Linked DNA regions of Rattus norvegicus. The protein of the gene in region 4 binds, or shares a complex with, the protein of the main gene of each other region. Links are inferred from orthologs where the notes say so. Each region holds a gene or a part of one and is shown on either strand. Other genes may lie near its edges. The genes, in order: Odad3, Clxn, Odad4 and Odad1.

The links.
Region 1: the proteins of Odad1 (region 4) and Odad3 are in contact, whole or in part, in a cryo-EM structure (PDB 9CPB), measured with the Bos taurus proteins. The link is inferred for Rattus norvegicus from reciprocal best matches to the Homo sapiens genes ODAD1 and ODAD3. Residues at the interface, in XP_024834988.1 of Bos taurus: Leu31, Gln32, Gln34, Cys35, Met38, Glu41, Arg42, Tyr45, Val49, Arg52, Ile53, Gln56, Leu57, Glu59, Ile60, Leu63, Glu64, Val66, Arg67, Leu70, Arg71, Gln73, Ile74, Ala77, Gln78, Asp86, Arg89, Leu90, Ser92, Met93; in NP_001095517.1 of Bos taurus: Gln69, Leu73, Lys76, Ile77, Leu79, Leu80, Asp83, Arg84, Phe87, Tyr88, Thr91, Asn94, Ile95, Asn98, Gln99, Thr101, Ile102, Leu105, Arg106, Glu108, Thr109, Leu112, Gln113, Gln115, Leu116, Leu119, Gly122, Asp123, Val126, Ala129.
Region 2: Odad1 (region 4) and Clxn share a complex: the UniProt entries of both Homo sapiens proteins name them as parts of the outer dynein arm-docking complex. The link is inferred for Rattus norvegicus from reciprocal best matches to the Homo sapiens genes ODAD1 and CLXN.
Region 3: Odad1 (region 4) and Odad4 share a complex: the UniProt entries of both Homo sapiens proteins name them as parts of the outer dynein arm-docking complex. The link is inferred for Rattus norvegicus from reciprocal best matches to the Homo sapiens genes ODAD1 and ODAD4.

The regions. Positions count from the first base shown.
Region 1 is NC_086026.1:28,799,792-28,804,578, forward strand, and holds part of Odad3 (coiled-coil domain-containing protein 151), read right to left. Parts: intron 2,981-4,787; coding exon 2,810-2,980; intron 2,729-2,809; coding exon 2,627-2,728; exon of another isoform or gene 2,541-2,626; coding exon 2,415-2,540; intron 2,262-2,414; exon of another isoform or gene 2,129-2,261; intron 1,017-2,128; coding exon 894-1,016; intron 392-893; coding exon of another isoform or gene 389-391; coding exon 236-388; intron 1-235. UniProt on the Homo sapiens protein: Component of the outer dynein arm-docking complex (ODA-DC) that mediates outer dynein arms (ODA) binding onto the doublet microtubule. Involved in mediating assembly of both ODAs and their axonemal docking complex onto ciliary microtubules.
Region 2 is NC_086029.1:99,497,296-99,502,516, forward strand, and holds the start of Clxn (calaxin), read right to left. Parts: upstream 3,388-5,221; 5' UTR 3,266-3,387; coding exon 3,208-3,265; intron 1-3,207. UniProt on the Homo sapiens protein: Component of the outer dynein arm-docking complex (ODA-DC) that mediates outer dynein arms (ODA) binding onto the doublet microtubule. Seems to regulate the assembly of both ODAs and their axonemal docking complex onto ciliary microtubules.
Region 3 is NC_086028.1:86,006,113-86,009,901, reverse strand, and holds the end of Odad4 (outer dynein arm-docking complex subunit 4), read right to left. Parts: intron 1,525-3,789; coding exon 1,121-1,524; 3' UTR 959-1,120; downstream 1-958. UniProt on the Homo sapiens protein: Component of the outer dynein arm-docking complex (ODA-DC) that mediates outer dynein arms (ODA) binding onto the doublet microtubule. Plays an essential role for the assembly of ODA-DC and for the docking of ODA in ciliary axoneme.
Region 4 is NC_086019.1:105,554,893-105,558,778, reverse strand, and holds the end of Odad1 (outer dynein arm-docking complex subunit 1), read right to left. Parts: intron 3,014-3,886; coding exon 2,850-3,013; intron 2,774-2,849; coding exon 2,676-2,773; intron 2,420-2,675; coding exon 2,341-2,419; intron 2,261-2,340; coding exon 1,757-2,260; 3' UTR 1,421-1,756; downstream 1-1,420. UniProt on the Homo sapiens protein: Component of the outer dynein arm-docking complex (ODA-DC) that mediates outer dynein arms (ODA) binding onto the doublet microtubule. Involved in mediating assembly of both ODAs and their axonemal docking complex onto ciliary microtubules.

The DNA.
Region 1 (4,787 bases), on a different chromosome or scaffold from region 4:
GCATGATCTGGACAGATCACTGAATCCTAGACCATTCCACACTGTGATGGTCTGAGAAACGGAACCTGACAAATAAAACTCCCAGAACCGACGTACCAAAGAAGTCAGCTCAGGGGAAGAGTGGAAGGAAGTAGGGCTAAGGTGGACAGCTCTGCTGGAGATAGAGGAGACAGGAGAGGACACCTTGAAGCAAAAAGGAGCATTTGCTTGCCTGGTGTGAGCCCAGGGTACTCACATGCGACTCAGCTACTCCAGTGGCATCTTTGACCTTGCCAAACATCACTTCCATCTGGTACATGCTCCAGCGCTGCCGCAGCTCCTGCTCCTTGTGGCGTTGGTGGTCCTGTATTGTATCTTCTGACTGCAGGAGTACGTGGTCTCGGTGGGTCTGCTTGAGAGTGGGGGACAGTCAAGGGAACTGTCAACATCAACTCCAGATAAAGGGCTTGGGGCAGGGGCCTCGATTCGACTTAGCTTAGATTGTGGGGAACAGGACAAAGGCTTGGGGCCAGGTTCAGGCATCCAGGTAGGAGTCAGATAGGTGGTCTCAGAACCAGGTAAGGAGCCAGAGTCATAGAAGGAGTAGTCTCTGGAAGGGGTGAGCTAGACCCCCACTCAGATATAGAACAGGGGCCTAAATCAAATGGGGAAGGATGAGAACAGGGTCAGATAGTTCAGGGCAGAACTGGAGCCCATGGCTTGTCCCTGGAAAAGAGGCTGAGGTGAGGTTGTGAGAGGAACCATTGTGCCAAATGGGGGCGGAGTCAGGGAGGGGAGGGGTTAGGATAGACGCCAGGTGTAGGGAAGCCTCTACCTCAGGATGTGTACACAAAGCGGGGACTAGGACCCTCTGGTTTGAACTGGCAAAGCCCTACCCGCTTAGGTATGCACACCTTGCGCTCCATACGCTCCGTCTGGAGTTTCTTCTCTTCCGCCCGCTTCTTGCAGTCAGTTATGTAATGGTCACGCTTCTTGCGGTCTCTGATCGCAGTCTCCTCCAGATACTGCAGCTGGTTCTAGGGGACAGGCGGGCACTTGGTATCTGTCCAGCTATAGTGGAGCAGTGGGCACCACGCGACCCAATAGCATGTGATTGCCAGGAGAGGCTAAAGACAAGTGAATTCTGACTAGAGTCTCTGCTCTCTTGGTATTCCTGAACTATTTCCTCTGAACTGAAACACTCCCCACTAGAGAGAGGGAGGCCCAAGGCTCAGGAAGTCCATGAAGCTTACAATGCTCAAGAAACAAGATTCACAAGTCTCCTCCCCACCCCCATGTTACAGTGAATGGGTGTGTTGGTTTGAATAGGGTTGGCTCCCACAGACTCATGTGTTTGAATGCTTGGTCAGAGTGACATTATTACAAAGTGTGGCTTTGTTGGAATAGGTGTGGCCTTGTTGGAGCAAGTGTGTCACTGTGGGGGTGGGCTTTGAGATCCTCCTCCTAGCTGAATGAGGAAGTCTGTCTTTTCCTGGTTGCCATCAGAACAAGATATAGAACTCTATAGAGGTGTGCCTGCCTGGATGCCGCCATGCTCCTGGCTTGATAATACTGAACTGACCCTCTGACCTGTAAGCCAACCCTGATTAAACGTTGTCCTTATAAGAGTTGCCTTGGTCATAGTGTCTGTTCACAGCAATGGGAACCCTATCTGACTCTGATGAGGGGACTCTGATGAATGGAACTCTAGAGATCCCACTTTCATGTCAGTGACCCCCTTCACCCATGTTCTGGAAGAAAGCCTCATAAACTCATTGTTCTCCAAGTTGGTCTTTGGTGGAGTGGTTGGGGTTTGGTTTTATTTTATTTTTGTAACTTTGTAGCCCAGGGTGACCTAGAACTCTCTATGTAGACTAGGCTGGCCTGGAATTCACAGAGATCCTGCCTCCGCCTCCAAACATGGAGATTAAAAGCATGCATCAAGGGGCTGGGGATTTAGCTCAGTGGTAGAGCGCTTACCTAGGAAGCGCAAGGCCCTGAGTTCGGTCCCCAGCTCCGAAAAAAAAAAGAACCAAAAAAAAAAAAGAACCAAAAAACATGCATCAACCCACCTGTCAGTGGTTAGTGTTTTTTTTTTTTAATGTTTAGATTTATTTATTTCATATGAATACTCTGTCACTGTCTTCAGATACACCAGAAGAGGGCATCGGATCCCATTACAGATGGCTGCGAGCCACCATGTGGTTGCTCGGAATTGAACTCAGGACCTCTGGAAGAGCAGTCAGTGCCCTTAACCACTGAGCCATCTCTCCAGCCTCGTGGTTAGTGTTTTATGTGGGAAGAGAGAGCACCATCTATCCAGGGAAAGTCCTGTAAAACTCTGGTATATGAGAAGGGCCCCCACCCCTGCCCCATCTGGGACAAGAAGGCAAGTACCCCCGCCCCTGCCCCATCTGGGACAAGAAGGCAAGTACCTTGGCAATGTCCCGGGCATTTATAGCCTCTTGGTTCACCACTTTCAGCTCCTGCACTTCATGTTTGGTGTTCATCACCTCAGCTTCCATGGAATCCAGCCGGTTCTCCAAGTTGAGACTCTCCTCCTGGCATATGGAGAGAGGGAAGGCTGTGACTGCTGTCCCTGGTCAGGTCCATCTTCTTCCCCTCCCTCTCTCTCCAGTGTTCCTACCTGAAGGTAAGACTTGAGCTGCAGGTACACATTGGTGATGTGCTCTGCCTCCTCTGCTTTCATCCGGGCCTTCTCCAGCCGGTTCTCCAGGTTGCGCATGGTCTAGGGGACGGCAGGGCTAGGCCAAGTTCCTTCCACCCACCATGCCTCCCCCAGGACCCTGCAGCCCTCAGCAGGCCCCACCTTGGCGGCCTCTGTGTTGCTGTCTTGGATCTCTGCCATCTCCAGCTGCCGCAGGCTGTGCTGCAGCCTCAGTTCCTCCAGCCGTTTCTGCCGAAGGATTACCTGGTGTCGTAAGGCATTCAGCTGGTTCATCTTCTCCCTCAACTGGTGCTCCAGGTGCTCCAGGGCCTGCTGTAGGGGAGGACGGAGAACAGAGCCTCAGCTTGCTCTCCCAAGTCCTTGAGTTCTCCTGGAAGCCCTTGTCTCTCTGGTCTCCTACCTGCTTTCCAGAACCCTTGGCATCTGATGCTTTTCTTTTTTCTATCCGTATGTGAGAGAGAGAGAGAGAGAGAGAGAGAGAGAGAGAGAGAGAGAGAGAACCCATAGGAAAATTTGAGCCTTGTGTGTGCAGCTATTCCCAGATCTCTTTTACATTTATTTATTTATTTGTTTATATTTATTTATTTATATTTTCAAGACATGGTCTCATAAGGTCTAGATTGGCTTTGAACTTTGTGTGCAGCCAGAGATAAATTTGAACTTCTGATCTTTCTGCATAGACTTTCTGGGTGTTGGGATCATATCAGTACACCATCGAACCCCCATTTTCTGAGGCCCTGGAGAGCAGCGGGGTTTCAGGCTGTGTGCTAGGAAAACCCTCCACTGTCTCAGCCACTCCTTCAGTCTCTCTCTCTGCGCACGTGCACCTGCTCCAGGACCTGAGTACACAGAGGTCAGAACATGCCTTTCCATGTTTCTGGGGGCACATGTGGAGGTCAGAGGAGAACTATGGGAGGGAATCGGTTCTTCCACTATCTGGGCCTCAGAGGTTGACACTAGACTCGGCAAAAAGCACTTTTACCTGTTTGGCCATCTCTGCAGCTCGCGATCAGAATTCTGTTTGTTTTGTTTTTTGTTTTTTGTTTTTTGTTTTTTTTCCTTCTGTAGCTGGGGACCGAACCCAGGGCCTTGTGCTTGCTAGGCAAGCGCTCTACCACTGAGCTAAATCCCCAACCCCTTGTTTTTTGTTTTTCAAGACAGGGTTTTTCTGTGTTACCCTGTCTTGGAACTCACTATGTAGACCTGGCTGGCCTGGAACTCAGAGATCCATCTGCCTCTGCTGGAATTAAAGGCAAATGCACCATGCCTGACTTTAATTAATTAATTGATTAATTAATTTATTTGTGTGTATGTGCGCTCTGACTGCATATATGCCTTTATGCCAGAAGAGGGCATAACCACTAAGATAGTTGCTAGCCACCATGTGGTTGCTGGGAATTGAACTCAGGACCTCTAGAAGAGTAGTCAATGCCCTTAAGCCATCTCTCCAGCTCCCACACTCAGATTTTTATATAGGTTCTGGAAATCAGGCTCAGGGTCTCATGTTTGCACAGCAAGCACGTCACTGACTGAGCCGCCTCCTCAGGTCCCTAGCTCATCTCCTATAACATTACTTACACTTTTACTTCATCTTTAATTTTATGTGTAATGGTGTTTTGTCTGCATGTGTATCTGTGCCAGGATGTCAGAAGAGGGCATTGGATCCCAAGCAGCTGGGGTTACAGACATCTGTGAGCAGCCATGTGGGTGCTGGGAACCAAACCCAGGTCCTTTGCTCTAAACCACTGAGCCATTGCTCCAGCCCTGGAGTTTTGTTTTGTTTTGTATCCCTTTTCTTTTTTGTTTCCTTTCCTTTTCTTTCTTTCCTCTCTCTCTGTCTCTCTCTTCTCTCCCTCTCACTCATAAAGCTTAGCTGATGCATTATTGGCATTAGTATGAGGCCACAGGGTGATGGCACAGGGCAAGGCAACACCAAAGAGAAAAACCCTGTGGCCTCAGATGGAGAAAATCCAGAATGGCATGGAGAAAACCTACTGCATGAGAGGTAGGTTCCTAGAATCACCTATAACCAATTTACCGAACACCACTGCAATGCCAGGCCCTCATCTGGCCACACCAACTGCGGTGGCCTCGACACAAATATACTTGGCTGCTCTGT
Region 2 (5,221 bases), on a different chromosome or scaffold from region 4:
TGTACACACTGACAAGTCAACCAATGTTGTCTTTCCTCTGATCATGTTCCCAAAATTATACTGTTGAGTTTTTATGGCTGCATTTTCCTGGTCATGTCTAGGGATGCTATATAGTAGCTAGCATCTTGGTCTTCTAACTCTTAAAAGCTGTCTTCTCCCTCTTCTTTGATTTTTCTCTGAGTCTTAGAAATATCCACAAATGGAACCTCATAAAACTGCAAAACTTCTGTAAGGCAAAGGACACTGTCATTAGGACAAAATGGCAACCAACAGATTGGGAAAAGATCTTTACCAATCCTATATCTGATAGAGGGCTAATATCCAAAATATACAAAGAACTCAAGTTAGATTCCAGAGAGTCAAATAAACCTATTATAAATAGGGTACAGAGCTAAACAAAGAATTCTCAGCTGAGAAAAAATCAAATGGCTGGGAAGCACCTAAAGAAATGCTCAACATCCTTAGTCATCAGGGAAATGCAAATCAAAACAACTCTGATTCCACTTCACACCAGTCAGAATGGCTAAGATCAAAAACTCAGGTGACAACAGATGCTGGTGAGGATGTGGAGAAAGAGGAACACTCCTCCATTGTTGGTTGGATTGCAGGCTGGTACAACCACTCTGGAAATCAGTCTGGAGGTTCCTCAGAAAATTGGACATTGCACTACCTGAGGACCCAGCTATACCTCTCTTGGGCATATACCCAAAAGATGCTCCAATATACAACAAAGACACATGATCCACTATGTTCATAGCAGCCTTATTTATAATATTCAGAAGCTGGAAATAACCCAGATGCCCTTCAACAGAGGAATGGATACAGAAAATGTGGTACATCTACACAATGGAATGCTACTCAGCTATCAAAAACAATGACTTCATGAAATTCATAGGCAAATGGAATGAACTAGAAAATATCATCCTGAATGAGGTAACTCAATCACAGAAAAACGCACATGGTATTGCACTCACTGATAAGTGGATATTAGCCCAAAAGCTGGAATTACCCAAGATACAATCCACAGGCCAAAGTGGACGACCAAAGTGTGGACGCTTCACTCCTTAAAAGGGGGAACAAAAATATTCATAGGAGGGGATATAGAGACAAAGTTTGGAGCAGAGACTGAAGGAACTGCCATTCAGAGCCTGCTCCTGAGAAGTTCAGCCAGAGAATGAGAAATAGAGAGGCAAATGCTAGCAGCAAACCATTGAACTGAGAACAGGGTACCTGAAGAAAGAAAGAAAGAGAGAGAGAGAGAGAGAGAGAGAGAGAGAGAGAGAGAGAGAGAGATTGATTGATTGTGTTGCATATGTATCAGTTTGGGTTAGGTACCTCATGGTCCCTTATTCTTGCATAATGACAAACTGTGCTTCTCTGAAATAGTCTCTATCTGTTGAGAAAGAGACTTACTTGATGCAGAATGAAAACTACACTTATTTGTGGCTACAGGAATAATTATTTAGAATACAGTTAGAAATTATTCTGGTTTAGGAAAATGGCAATTGTAGGTTCTCCTTTAGGGTTCATGTTCCAGCCATGGTTAGTTGTCTAGGATTATAGTACCAGACACGAGGCCTCTCCTGCTCAGACCAATTAAACAGCTGGTGGTTACTTGCAAGATAAAAGTGCCACCTTGCAGTATGGTGGATCTTTTGCCAGCCCAGTTGTTTTTCTGGCTCATAGGCTTTTCTCTGGGTAGGACTACTGATTGCTCCTCTCTCTTGGCAGCATGCATAACACTTTAAAATATAAGAGCTAGTCCTCAGGGTTTCCAGGCCAGCTCCATGTCAATTTCTATGAATTCTGTCTCTTAAGTGTGTGATGTCTTCAGCAATAGGGTCTCACTTTCAAGTTCTGGAAGACAAAGGCAACAGCTGCAGCTCATATTGTCTTGGAAATCTCATGTATTCTCCTAACCAATAATTGGCCTGGAGCTTTCCCAAGTCTGGCATTGAATTTTGTGTCAAATAGTATATGGCTCTTGGAAATAGGAAAAATACCCTCACCTCTTTATTTTTTAAATTGTTATCACAGTTCATGAAGAATTGTGAACTTACGAAGCGTACTCAATCAAATAAACATTGTATGTGCCAGTTATTAATGTATCAATTTCTGATTACAGAAATGTTTGTACTCATTTTAAAAATATCAGATATTCTCCCAGAGATGAAAGCATTTCATATAAACAACAAAAGAACACCATCTCTTATCACATTAATAAACAACTTAAATGACAGCCTGACACTTTCTGAGAATTTTAAGATGCTCGCAGTGTAACAATGTATCATAGTTTTCAGTCAGGGCACTACTCCCATGGTATCAATTCTCATACACTGTGTTAGATACTAATGATATAAATGTGCTAGGCCCAAAAACTCCAGAGCTGCACTAGAAGTTCACTTCCACACCTTCATACAACAGAGGTGGTTTGAAGATGTGACCTCTCGATTTTCATTGTGACCAGTAGCTCTTCTAGTGTCTACTGTGACTATCACACAGCTTCTAAATTCACACATCAAACAATACTGCTCTAATCTCAATTGAGAATCACACTGCTTCTCAGCCCAAGAATAGCTTATTTTTCAGTCCGAGTACAATGCTCTGGTGTTTGGTCAACCGCAGGATCTCCTTTACCTGTGGATATGACTGCGAGTTGGAAATTGAATATCTGAAACTGGGGACAGATTCCTTACCATCTTAGATTTGCTGAGCAATACATTTTTCAAAAGAATGCCTAAGACAGTGCCTGTAACACTTCAAGTCTCTTTCTTAATGGTGATGACTGTTTTCTTTATGGATATCTTAGCAAACTTCCAGAGCTTAGACCTCAGCTTCTTTTGCTCTAGAAAGAGCCAGAAAGTAGGTTATGGCTCTTCTACTTTCTTGATTCTGGTGTTTTTCTAGGACTTACTTTTCAACCTGTTTAAAGCTGAACCCACATACCTCCCAGACACACAACACACCATATTGCTTCTCTAACATAAAAGCAAATAAAGAGGGAGCTCGGGCAGATCACACACTAGATGCTTGAGATGGGACAGGATGCCTCCCAAGGACCTGGAACTCCAGAAAGGGATTCCCTTCCAGATTCTCTTGAGGGGGAGTTTGGAGGGGCCATTGCTGATGAAAGCAGGAAGTGGGGACTGGGTAGAAAGAGATCTAGTCCAGAAGCCATGGGTCCTCTCGCATTCGGTTCTTACTTACAGTGCTTGCAACTTTTAGTTAAGGTGTCCGTCAACTTCTGCAGTTTCTTTCGGTTCATGATCGGTGTTAAGAAAATTAGATTTTAGTGTGTCATCCAGAGCATAGTGCCAGGACGCTCCGGCTCCGGAGCGCCAGGCCGAGGGAGCCTGGTGTAGCCAGATGGCTCTGAGCTTTTGCGCCTTTGCGACCCCAACAGACTGTAGCCATGACAACGCCTCAGAGGGCTACCAATTGGCTCCCAGGGGCGGGGCGCTCTCGAGTTTAAAGCAGCCTCTGCAGAGCAGCCGTGGCAACGGCCTGGCGGTACACTGATTGCCTCCTGTCTGGGAGGCAGCCTGGTCAGCTCAGTAATGCCTGCCAGTCAAGGCTTCCCAGAATAGGCACTGTGCCTACATTTAGTCCCAGTTGCAGCTTTCTAGCCTGTCACTTTGCAGACTGTAATGTTTGCCGTGTTGGAAATTTTTATTTTCACTTGTCACACCATCTTTTCGGTTCACAGCCTCTCAAGACTGCATCATAATTAGAAGAGTAAGGTGTGCAAACTGGATAGATGTTTCGTGTGATGAGCACAAGAAGGATTTAGGTTTCTCAGGGAGATCTGTGGGGGTGCTGGAGTGAAGTAGGGGTGTCATCCGAGCAATTGCCAGAAAGGAGTCTGAACAATTAAGAGAAAGTAGATCTCCCTCTCCCCTCCCTCCCTCCCTTCCTCCCTCCCTCCGTCCCTCCCTCCCTCCCTCCCTGCCTGCCTGCCTCCCTCCCTCCTTCCCTCCTCCTCTTACTTCTCTTCCTCTTCTCTCTCTCCCTCTCCCTCTCCCTCTCCCTCTCCCTCTCCCTCTCCCTCTCTCTATCTTCTGTCTCACTCGTTGGATTGGGGAAATTTGCAAAAGACCAGTGATTTTAAGTTCATTAATTAAAAATACATTCTCTTCTATGGAAATAGGTTCCCACTTAGGTATGGCTTATAACTGAAGTTTGCTTTTTTAAAATTCCCATTAAAATTGATCCTTTGTTTATATTTAAGACAAGTTCTGGCTCTGTTGAAAGAAAGAAGGAAGGAAAGAGAGAGAGAGAGAGAGAGAGAGAGAGAGAGAGAGAGAGAGAAGGAAAGGAAAGGAAAGGAAAGGAAAGGAAAGGAAAGGAAAGGAAAGGAAAGGAAAGGAAAGGAAAGGAAAGGAAAGGAAAGGAAAGGAAAGGAAAGGGAGGGATGGGCTGCAATACCCTTTGCTTTACTCAACAACACATGGGATGCTCCTCTTGAATTTCGATGCAAATGAATGAGCTACCTCAACATGAACCTTCAGATCTAAAAGGCTGGAGAATTACAGTAGTTTATTGTAAACATAATGTTCTTTCAACCTGAAATAGATACATTGTGCTAAGAATAAGGAACAGCCCAATATGAAATAGTACCAGTTTTGGGGGTCCCCGGTTTTCTTTTACTGTTTTATTTGTAGAAATAATTGCAGTGTTGTTTGAAACCAGAACCAAAAACCCTGAGTAACCCGAGGGACTGTTCCTCCTTAAAGAAAATTGAGAACTGTTAAGCAATATGAAATAGTGCCAGTGTCCTCACATCTAGAAGCCAAGAAGCTCTGGGGTACTAGAAGCAAATGGGGACTGGAAATACTGTGATCTGGTTCCCATAAAATCTTAGAGTTTGTTCTTTACATCACAGAATTAATGGCAAAATCATGGACATATGAGGTGTCTTAAGAAGCAGGCTTCCATGGATGGTGAGGCAAGTTGACAGACCAAGTTTGTGTCTTAGGGATCAGGTTTCCACTGATGGTGAACACACTAATAAGTATGTCCCAGTATCTTGGGAGACAGCACACATTGAAGGTCTCTCAGAGGCACATATATATGAGATGATTGATTATTTCAACAGGCCCTGTCTGCTTAACCTGAAAAAAAATGCAGGGTCAGTGTTAAAGCCTGCTGAGATTAAAGCAGGCCAGTGACAAACATCTCTTAACCATCAAACAACATTTGAAAGAAAACTCCTGTGCTTTCC
Region 3 (3,789 bases), on a different chromosome or scaffold from region 4:
GTATGTAGGTCCACACACATAAATGCACACACAAAAATAAATTAAAATGTACTTTTTATTTCATTGAGACAGGCTTTCTCTGTCCGGCTCTGGCTATCCTGGAACTCACTGTGTAGACCAGGCTGGCCTCAAACTCACAGAGATCTGTCTGCCTCTGCCTCTACAATGGCTGGGACTAAAGGTGTGCATCGACACCGACTGGCTTAATAGATTACTTTTATTTTATATATATTGGTGTTTTGCCTGCATATGTGTCTGTGTGGGGGTTTAGAACCTCCTGGAACTAGAGTTACAGACAGTTGGGAGCTGCCATCTGAGTGCTGGGAATTGAACTCAGGTCCTCTTGAAGAGCTCAAGCCTGCTAAGCCATCTCTCCAGCCTCATTTCAGATGGTTGGGAGCCACCATGTGGTTGCTAGGAATTGAACTCAGCACAGCTGTTAACCGCTGGGCCATCTCTCCAGCCCAGCCTCGATCCTTTTGGGGCCAGATGTTTACACGCCAACTCTGGGAAATCACAGCCTTCTGGGTGGCATTTCTGCGGTGTTCTAGTAACTAATCTTCCCAGGGCAGCCTGAGCTGCACAGAGGCGGCGGTGGGCCCTCAGGACTCTTTCCCAGACAGTCTGCCTGTAGGTCCAGCTTCTACTCTGATCTATTCTGAAGGCCTACAGGCTTTATAAGATGGCTCACAATCTGATAATCTCAGCTGAGCTGTGGTTTCTGTCTATCCTCATCCCACTGCTCGGCCTTGTGCACATAGCGTATCTCCGGGGAAACTGAGCCAGTGGCCGAGAAGCAGGCAGAAACGCTTCTGTTCTCGGGGCTTTCTTTTCCTGTTCTCTCAGTGCTCTCTGGAGCTCACCTGCTTCCCCCCCACCCACCCCGCTCATCTCTTCTGTTGGTCCCTACTGAGAATGAGGGGTAGGAGGAGGCGCAGTGACTCACTCACTCAAGATCTATAAAAATGAAAGACGCATATTTAATGGGGGAGCAGGGGCACATGGGGTATGGTATGTAGGAGTCAGTCTCCCAGCTCGTCCTATCCAGACGTCTCACCTGGGAACACTGGCCGCCTGAACCTCGAGCTCACTAAGCCAGCCCTCAGCCTTTCCTCAGTTGTTAAATAGTTTCCGATTTCGATTCGTCCTCTTCTGTTTTCTCCAGCCTCTCCTCCATGGCTGTTTCTGATGGCTTCTCCTGGTTTTGGCTGATATCATCTAGGGTTGGTTGGGTGGAGTCCTCTGAGATCCTTCGGTAGATTTCCCTGGACTCTCTTCTCATCATTTGGCTTGTCGAAGGGGTGTCTCCCAACATCATTTTGCTGCTCGTGAGTCCTGAGCTGCTTCCGTCTTGCTCCTCCACCCTCAGCAGCCTCTGCTTCGACCCCTCTTCATCTTCCGTGGCCTCTCTCTCACTCTCCAGTTCCCTCTCCCACTGCTTCACCACCCTCTCCTGCTCTTCTCGACCTCGTCTCGTTTCCTTCTCCGATGCTCCCGAAAACTCCATCTGTGAACTGATGTCCTCTGGAAAACAGAACGGGGTGGTGCAGGATGAGACAGCCTGCCTGGGCTTCTCCGAGCGAGCGAGCGAGCGAGCGAGCGCAGCAAGGACGGGAGGGTGGCCTTGGTCACATGGCCACACGCTTCCCAAAGGAGAGGACCGGCCATTGCTCGGGTCCTGAAGAAGTTCTGCTCTGGCATCGGGTGAGATGCTGCATGCTCCATTACCGTGCAATTGCGAGGGAGACTGGCGCAGAGGAGATCTCACCACGATCCCCCTCCGAGAAAGAACAAAACCAGAACTTCAACCCTGGACCGCCTGACCCCAAAAATACCCGGCTCCTTTCCCTACAAGAAATGACACAGGGGCTGGGGATTTAGCTCAGTGGTAGAGTGCTTGCCTAGCAAGCGCAAGGCCCTGGGTTCGGTCCCCAGCTCCGAAAAAAAGAAAAAGAAAAAAAAAAAAAAAAGAAATGACACGGGGCTGGAGAGGTGGCTCAGTGGTTAAGAGAACTGACTGCTCTTCCAGAGGTCCTGAGTTCAAATCCCAGCAACCACATGGTGGCTCACGACCATCTGTAATGGGATCTGATGCCCTCTTCTGGTGTGTCTGAAGACAGCGACAGTGTGCTCATATACAAAGAAAGAGATGGCGTAGGTACTTATTCTTTTTTCTTTTTTTTAAAGATTTATTTATGTGAGTTTACTGTCCATGTCTTCAGACACACCAGAAGAAGGCATTGGACTCCATTACAGGTAGTTGTGAGCCACCATGTGGTTGCTGGGAATTGAACTCAGGACCTCTGGAAGAGCAGTCAGTGCTCTTTTTTTTTTTTTTTTTTTTTTTTTTTTTGGTTCTTTTTTTTCGGAGCTGGGGACCGAACCCAGGGCCTTGCGCTTCCTAGGCAAGCGCTCTACCACTGAGCTAAATCCCCAACCCCGCAGTCAGTGCTCTTAACCACTGAGCCATCTCTCTAGCCCATGGGTGTTCATTCTCTGGTCCACACCGTGTAAGCAGCCATTGCCACAGGCTCCTGGTCTGAAACATCACTCTGTATCAGAACCTCCCATAACCTCGCCTTCACCGCTGGGATGCAAAAAACATCCTTCCTCCCTTGACAAAAATGGCATGGGTGTTGAGGAGTGACATGGGGTCTTTTTTCCAGTGACTCCCGATCCTGCCACCTTTGCACTGGTCCCTGGGGAGCAGTCAGTGTTGAGTTCTTTTGTAAACATATGAGCGGGCCGTAAGCAAGAGGGGCTGCTGGAGAGCTGCCGTCCTATAACTCTTGCTCTTTGTCTGATAACTGCAGAAAAGTCACCATCACCTCCTGGGTATCCTTCACGCTCTTCTTCTGGAAGCTGCTCATAGGGAAGTCATCGAGAGTGGTTTAACAAGGTCTCAGTCATTCCGAGGTAAAAAGATAAACAACAGTGCCCTCTTCTGTTCAGACAAGGAAGTGTCTTCTTGAGAAGGCAGGGGATCTGCAGGTGGCAGGCCCAGGGGAGGGGAAACTGCTTCCTGGCCCATCCCCCTCTCCCTAGCCCTCTTCCCCTAGCTATCCCTTCCGTGGCTTGTTGACTGCTCCATGCAACCTACAAACAGAGGCCTGACCTCTCTTTGAGGGAATCAGCTACCACCACTGGGCAGGCACTGGAGAGATGGAGCCCTGAGAGTTGAGGCACACACCTGTAAACCCAGGACTTGGGGGATAGAGGCTAGGGGAGGATCAGGAGTTGATGACCATTCCCAGCTACAGAGGAAATCTGAGGCCAGCCCGGCATACAGGAGACCTTGCTTCAAAACAAAAAGGACAAACCAAAACGAACAGTTGTGGAGGCCTGGAAAATCCCAGCTCTCAGGAGGTTGAAGCAGGAGCAAATGTGACTAACTGGACAAGACTGGAATCAGAGGTCAGCCTCTCATTTCTACATACATGGTACACATGTGTATCAGCACACATACGTGTGCGATAAGGGGATGCTGTCATCTAGCTGCTCTGCTGTGGGAGCCATGGGGACTAGGAAGAACTTGCCCTTGAACCTTGGGGTGGTTGGGGGTGTTAGCTAATAATCCACACTGGACTCTGTCTCCTGGACCCCTCCCCACCACCCACTGTATCACGGCCAAGAGGTCACGGTCTTCCAGAGCGAGGCAAGGGCCGTCTGTTACCAAAATCATTGTGGAATCGTGGTTGAGGCCCTGAGGCCCAGGATCTAAAGCTAGATGGCCAGACTGAAAACCTCTGTGGATTTCCAAGCCCCTCTTCAACAAGTGTTCCCAGTAAG
Region 4 (3,886 bases):
TGGTGGGGTGTGCCTGTCTAGCGTGCATGAAGTGATGGGTTAGGACCCCAGCACTGCAGGAACCAGACGTGCTGGTAACCATCTGTAACCCCAGCACTTGGGAGGTGGAAGCAGGAGGATAATCATAACGTCAAGGTCAACTTCTGCCATATGTCAAACTCAAGGCCAGTCAGGGTTGTCTGCAAAGCCCCATAGCTTCCCCAGCCAAGGCCTGTTCAGCTAGTCAATGTGCATGATAGGACCACTGGGTCCATGAAAAGCTCCAAGAGTTGCCGTTTTTGTTTTTTTTTTTTTGTTTTGTTTTGTTTTGTTTTTTGTTTTTTTTTTCTTTTCCAGGACTGCATCTCCAGGTTGAGGTTGTCCTGTCAGCCTGGGGCAAGAGCATGATGTGGAGTGGAGGCCTTAACGAACCCACAAAGAAGCAAGAATGTCAGAGCAAGAGAAACCTAGCCACAGAAGCGTCGGATGCGGAAGACGTTTGCCACTGCAGCATAACCCAGCCTGTCCTGATACAGATGCCGGTAGAGCCATAAAAGGGAAAACGCAGAAGATGGCTAGGTGTGTTAAGGCCTGGGTAACTGTTGCCTGTCTAGCCAGCCCTTTCGTGTGGTTACTAATGTTACAAGAAAACTTCCCCATGTGCTGACGCTCCTGCCTGAGTTGATTGCAGATTCTGTTACAGTTCTGTGTGTTGGTGTTCTTAGAGACCAATCACAATGGAGGTCAGTTAGAACTGCTTTGTATAGTAAGCCACAATAAGCTAGAACTGGAACCCACGGCCCAGCATCACTTCTCGCACTTCCATATGAGCTTTTTATGATGTTTGCTTCTATAAGCTGCCCCTGGGATGGACCCCGAGATTAGAGAGACACCTGCACCAATATAAGAAGCCATTTGGAGTAAAACTTCCGTTTTGAGTAGAAGTCAAAGAAAGTTTAAATTCCCAAGGCCTCCCTAGGAATTGACATTCTACTTGACAGAAAGAGGCATGGACATCCTGGTTGGCAAAGTTGAGACATGAACGTTAGGGAAGCCAAGTCCCGCACCACAGTTGAAGAACCCATCCAATGAGAACAGGATAAATGTAAAACAAAGACTTGTTCCTAAGAAGTCCTCTATTCCTATGTCCTGATTGGTGGAATAGCTTGGCACAGATATTTGTGGACCTCAGGCTTCAGAGCTCTGTAGAATTCAGGCTGGGGGTCGCAGTTTAGCTCCCGAGCCTGAACTTGGGCCGTGCCTTCAGTAAACCAGCCAGCCCTATTTGACTGAGATTGGTATCCGGGCAGTTCGTGCAGTGATTCCCAGACCCCGACAGATGGATTAATGCATGCATGCAGGGGTAGGCAGACATAGGGAGGGGCTCACAATTTTTTCTCTCTAAGCTGGAAACAGAAGGCATGAGGTCTGAACACACTTGTAGGAGCCGGGCTTGGAAAAACGGGGCTCTGACCTTTATTTCCTATTGTCACGGTTCACCTAAGTCAATGGAGGGAAATCCAGTTAGGAGACAGAGACATCAGATGAAGGGAAGCTTCGGGGAGAGGTTGAGGAGGGCAGAGACGGGAAGCAAGGAGGAGGAGGAGGGCAACAGAGAGTCAAGGCCAAGGCAGGGTAACGATGGGAGCAGATGGGAAGAGACGGAGGGAAGCTCAAGAGGCCTGGGCTTACAGGGATTGGAAAGGAGTCTCTGGGGAAGAGCAGGGCACAAATTAGAAAACCTGCCAAGGGTTGAGACAGAAGGGGACCTGCAACCCTAGTTATAGCCCCTCGAGTCCTTGCTGGTAGCAGAGCTGGGCCTGGAGGCGGGGGCAGCACTGGATGTCTGGCCACTGCCGGAGCTGAAGCCTCTACTCATCTCGGATCCCATGCTTTGGCTGTGACCGCCTCCTGTCCCGCTCTCGCGGCCTCTGCTGGTCTCTAGATACCCAGTAGACCCCAGGTAGCTGCTGGAGCTAGTGTGTTTGAAGGCCCCACGCCCCCCCTGAGAGCCCCGGCCGGACACAGGTAGTCCACTGGCACTGGTGGAAGCCAAGGTCACAGGGCCTGGAGCAGAAGCAGAGTCACCAAAGGTGACATGGCTTATGGAGCCAGTGCCACGGCCTCGGCCTGTCTTGTGGCTCAGGATAGACTCAGGGACTACGCTGGCCTTTCTAGCGTGCACAGAGGCAGCTGCTAAGGAGATGCGTGGGCTGGAAAGAGTCAAACTTGGGCTGCTGTCCCGCTTCTTTGGAGACCCCTCCTCATCCTGGAGCTGCACCTGGAAGTGGGCAATATTAGGGGGTCAACGGGTTTAGAAATCCTTCCTACCGCCCCCTGGCCCGAGAGCCCCTCTCTCACCAACTTCATGACTTGACTCAGCAGTTCCTCCTTGCTCATAGGGTAATCGTCTTTGATTACAACCCCTGAGGAGTCCTCCCTCAGGTGGGAGAAAGGTAGAAAGTCTGGTTTCATAGGTCTGCCTCATACATAGATCCCAGCCGTCCTGTTCCTGCCCCCTCCCCTTGGAGCATCAGCACCCCATCTTCGCACTCTATCCCGACCTCCCTCCAAGCTCTCATTGCACCCGTTGTGCCTGAGAAAGCCATATCCGAAAGCCATACCCATGCCCTCCACCCCACCCCTTTTGTCTGCCCCCTGTGGTCAGCCCCTTCCCTGCTGGGCCCAAGCCTCACATGGTGTCAGGAGGCTTGAGTGGGGTAGTCTTCTTTGGGGGTTCCTGTATGCTCTGACCCAGTGCCAGAAGCGCAGCATCAGCCAAAGGGACATTGTTCTGAGAGTGTGGGAGTCTAGAGTTAGTGCAGGCCTGGCCAAGCCTGATGCCAACACCCAAGTCCCTGCCTACTCACCTGGACCTCAAGGAAGGCCTGCACCGTGAGAAGCTGCACCAGCCGCTTCTCAATGGTACTCAGGAAGAGACCTATGTCCCTATCCCGCATGTAGGTCTTGACCCCAAGGAGATCCTTGATGACACTGTTGTCACACTGAGCCTTGTCGAAGAGAACCTGGATATCTGGGATCAAAGAGGAATATTTGTCAGGGCCCCTGTGCTCCCCTCACACGGTACATAACCACAGCCTCCCTGCAAAGGCAAGTTTCAAAGAGCGAATGACTCTGTGCAGCCCAGACAGCCAGGCACAACGTCCATTGGCCTAGCCTCAGGTTCAAGAGGGTAAAGGGAGAGTTACCATGACGCTGCCTTGGTGGTACACGTTGGCTGAAAACAAACCTCATTCCCACCAGCTCAATAATGCCAGGGCTCAGATCCCACCTGGAACACATGCATCCCAGAAGCCACCAGGTTACCACCCCTTGCCCTAAGCCCCATGTTTCCAGTTGTATTTAATTGGTGAACAGACTGATGGTAATGACAGAAACACCATAGCTGAGTCCTGTCTCCCCTCACAAGTGAGCCTGTCCCTCCAGCTGCCCTCCTTAGAAGCCTTGTGACATCCCTGGATATTCTTTAAACATATATCGTGATTGATTCTGGTTCATGTTTAACTTCCTAAAGGATGTCTTGGCTACTCTGCTAAGAGGAAATAACAGAAAGAGGGACAACTTTGTAACAGCCACTATTATAGGTGGAAGTGCATCCCTCTAGGTTCCTCCTTTGGAAGTCTAAACGTCCCCAGTGCCTCGGGATGTGATTTCTTAGGAGACAAGGCCCCTTGGAGTACGGTAACTGCTAACGCAAGAGGACACACTATGTGCTTCAGACACACCTAACCTTGTAAAACAGATAGGAAAACAAGCACACATATACACATACACAAACACACACATCTGTACCTATGTGCACACCTGTATAGCAGAGCACACACATGGACACCTACATGCAAAAACAAGGGAGACAGAATGGACCCACGGTGTAGACATTCAATGC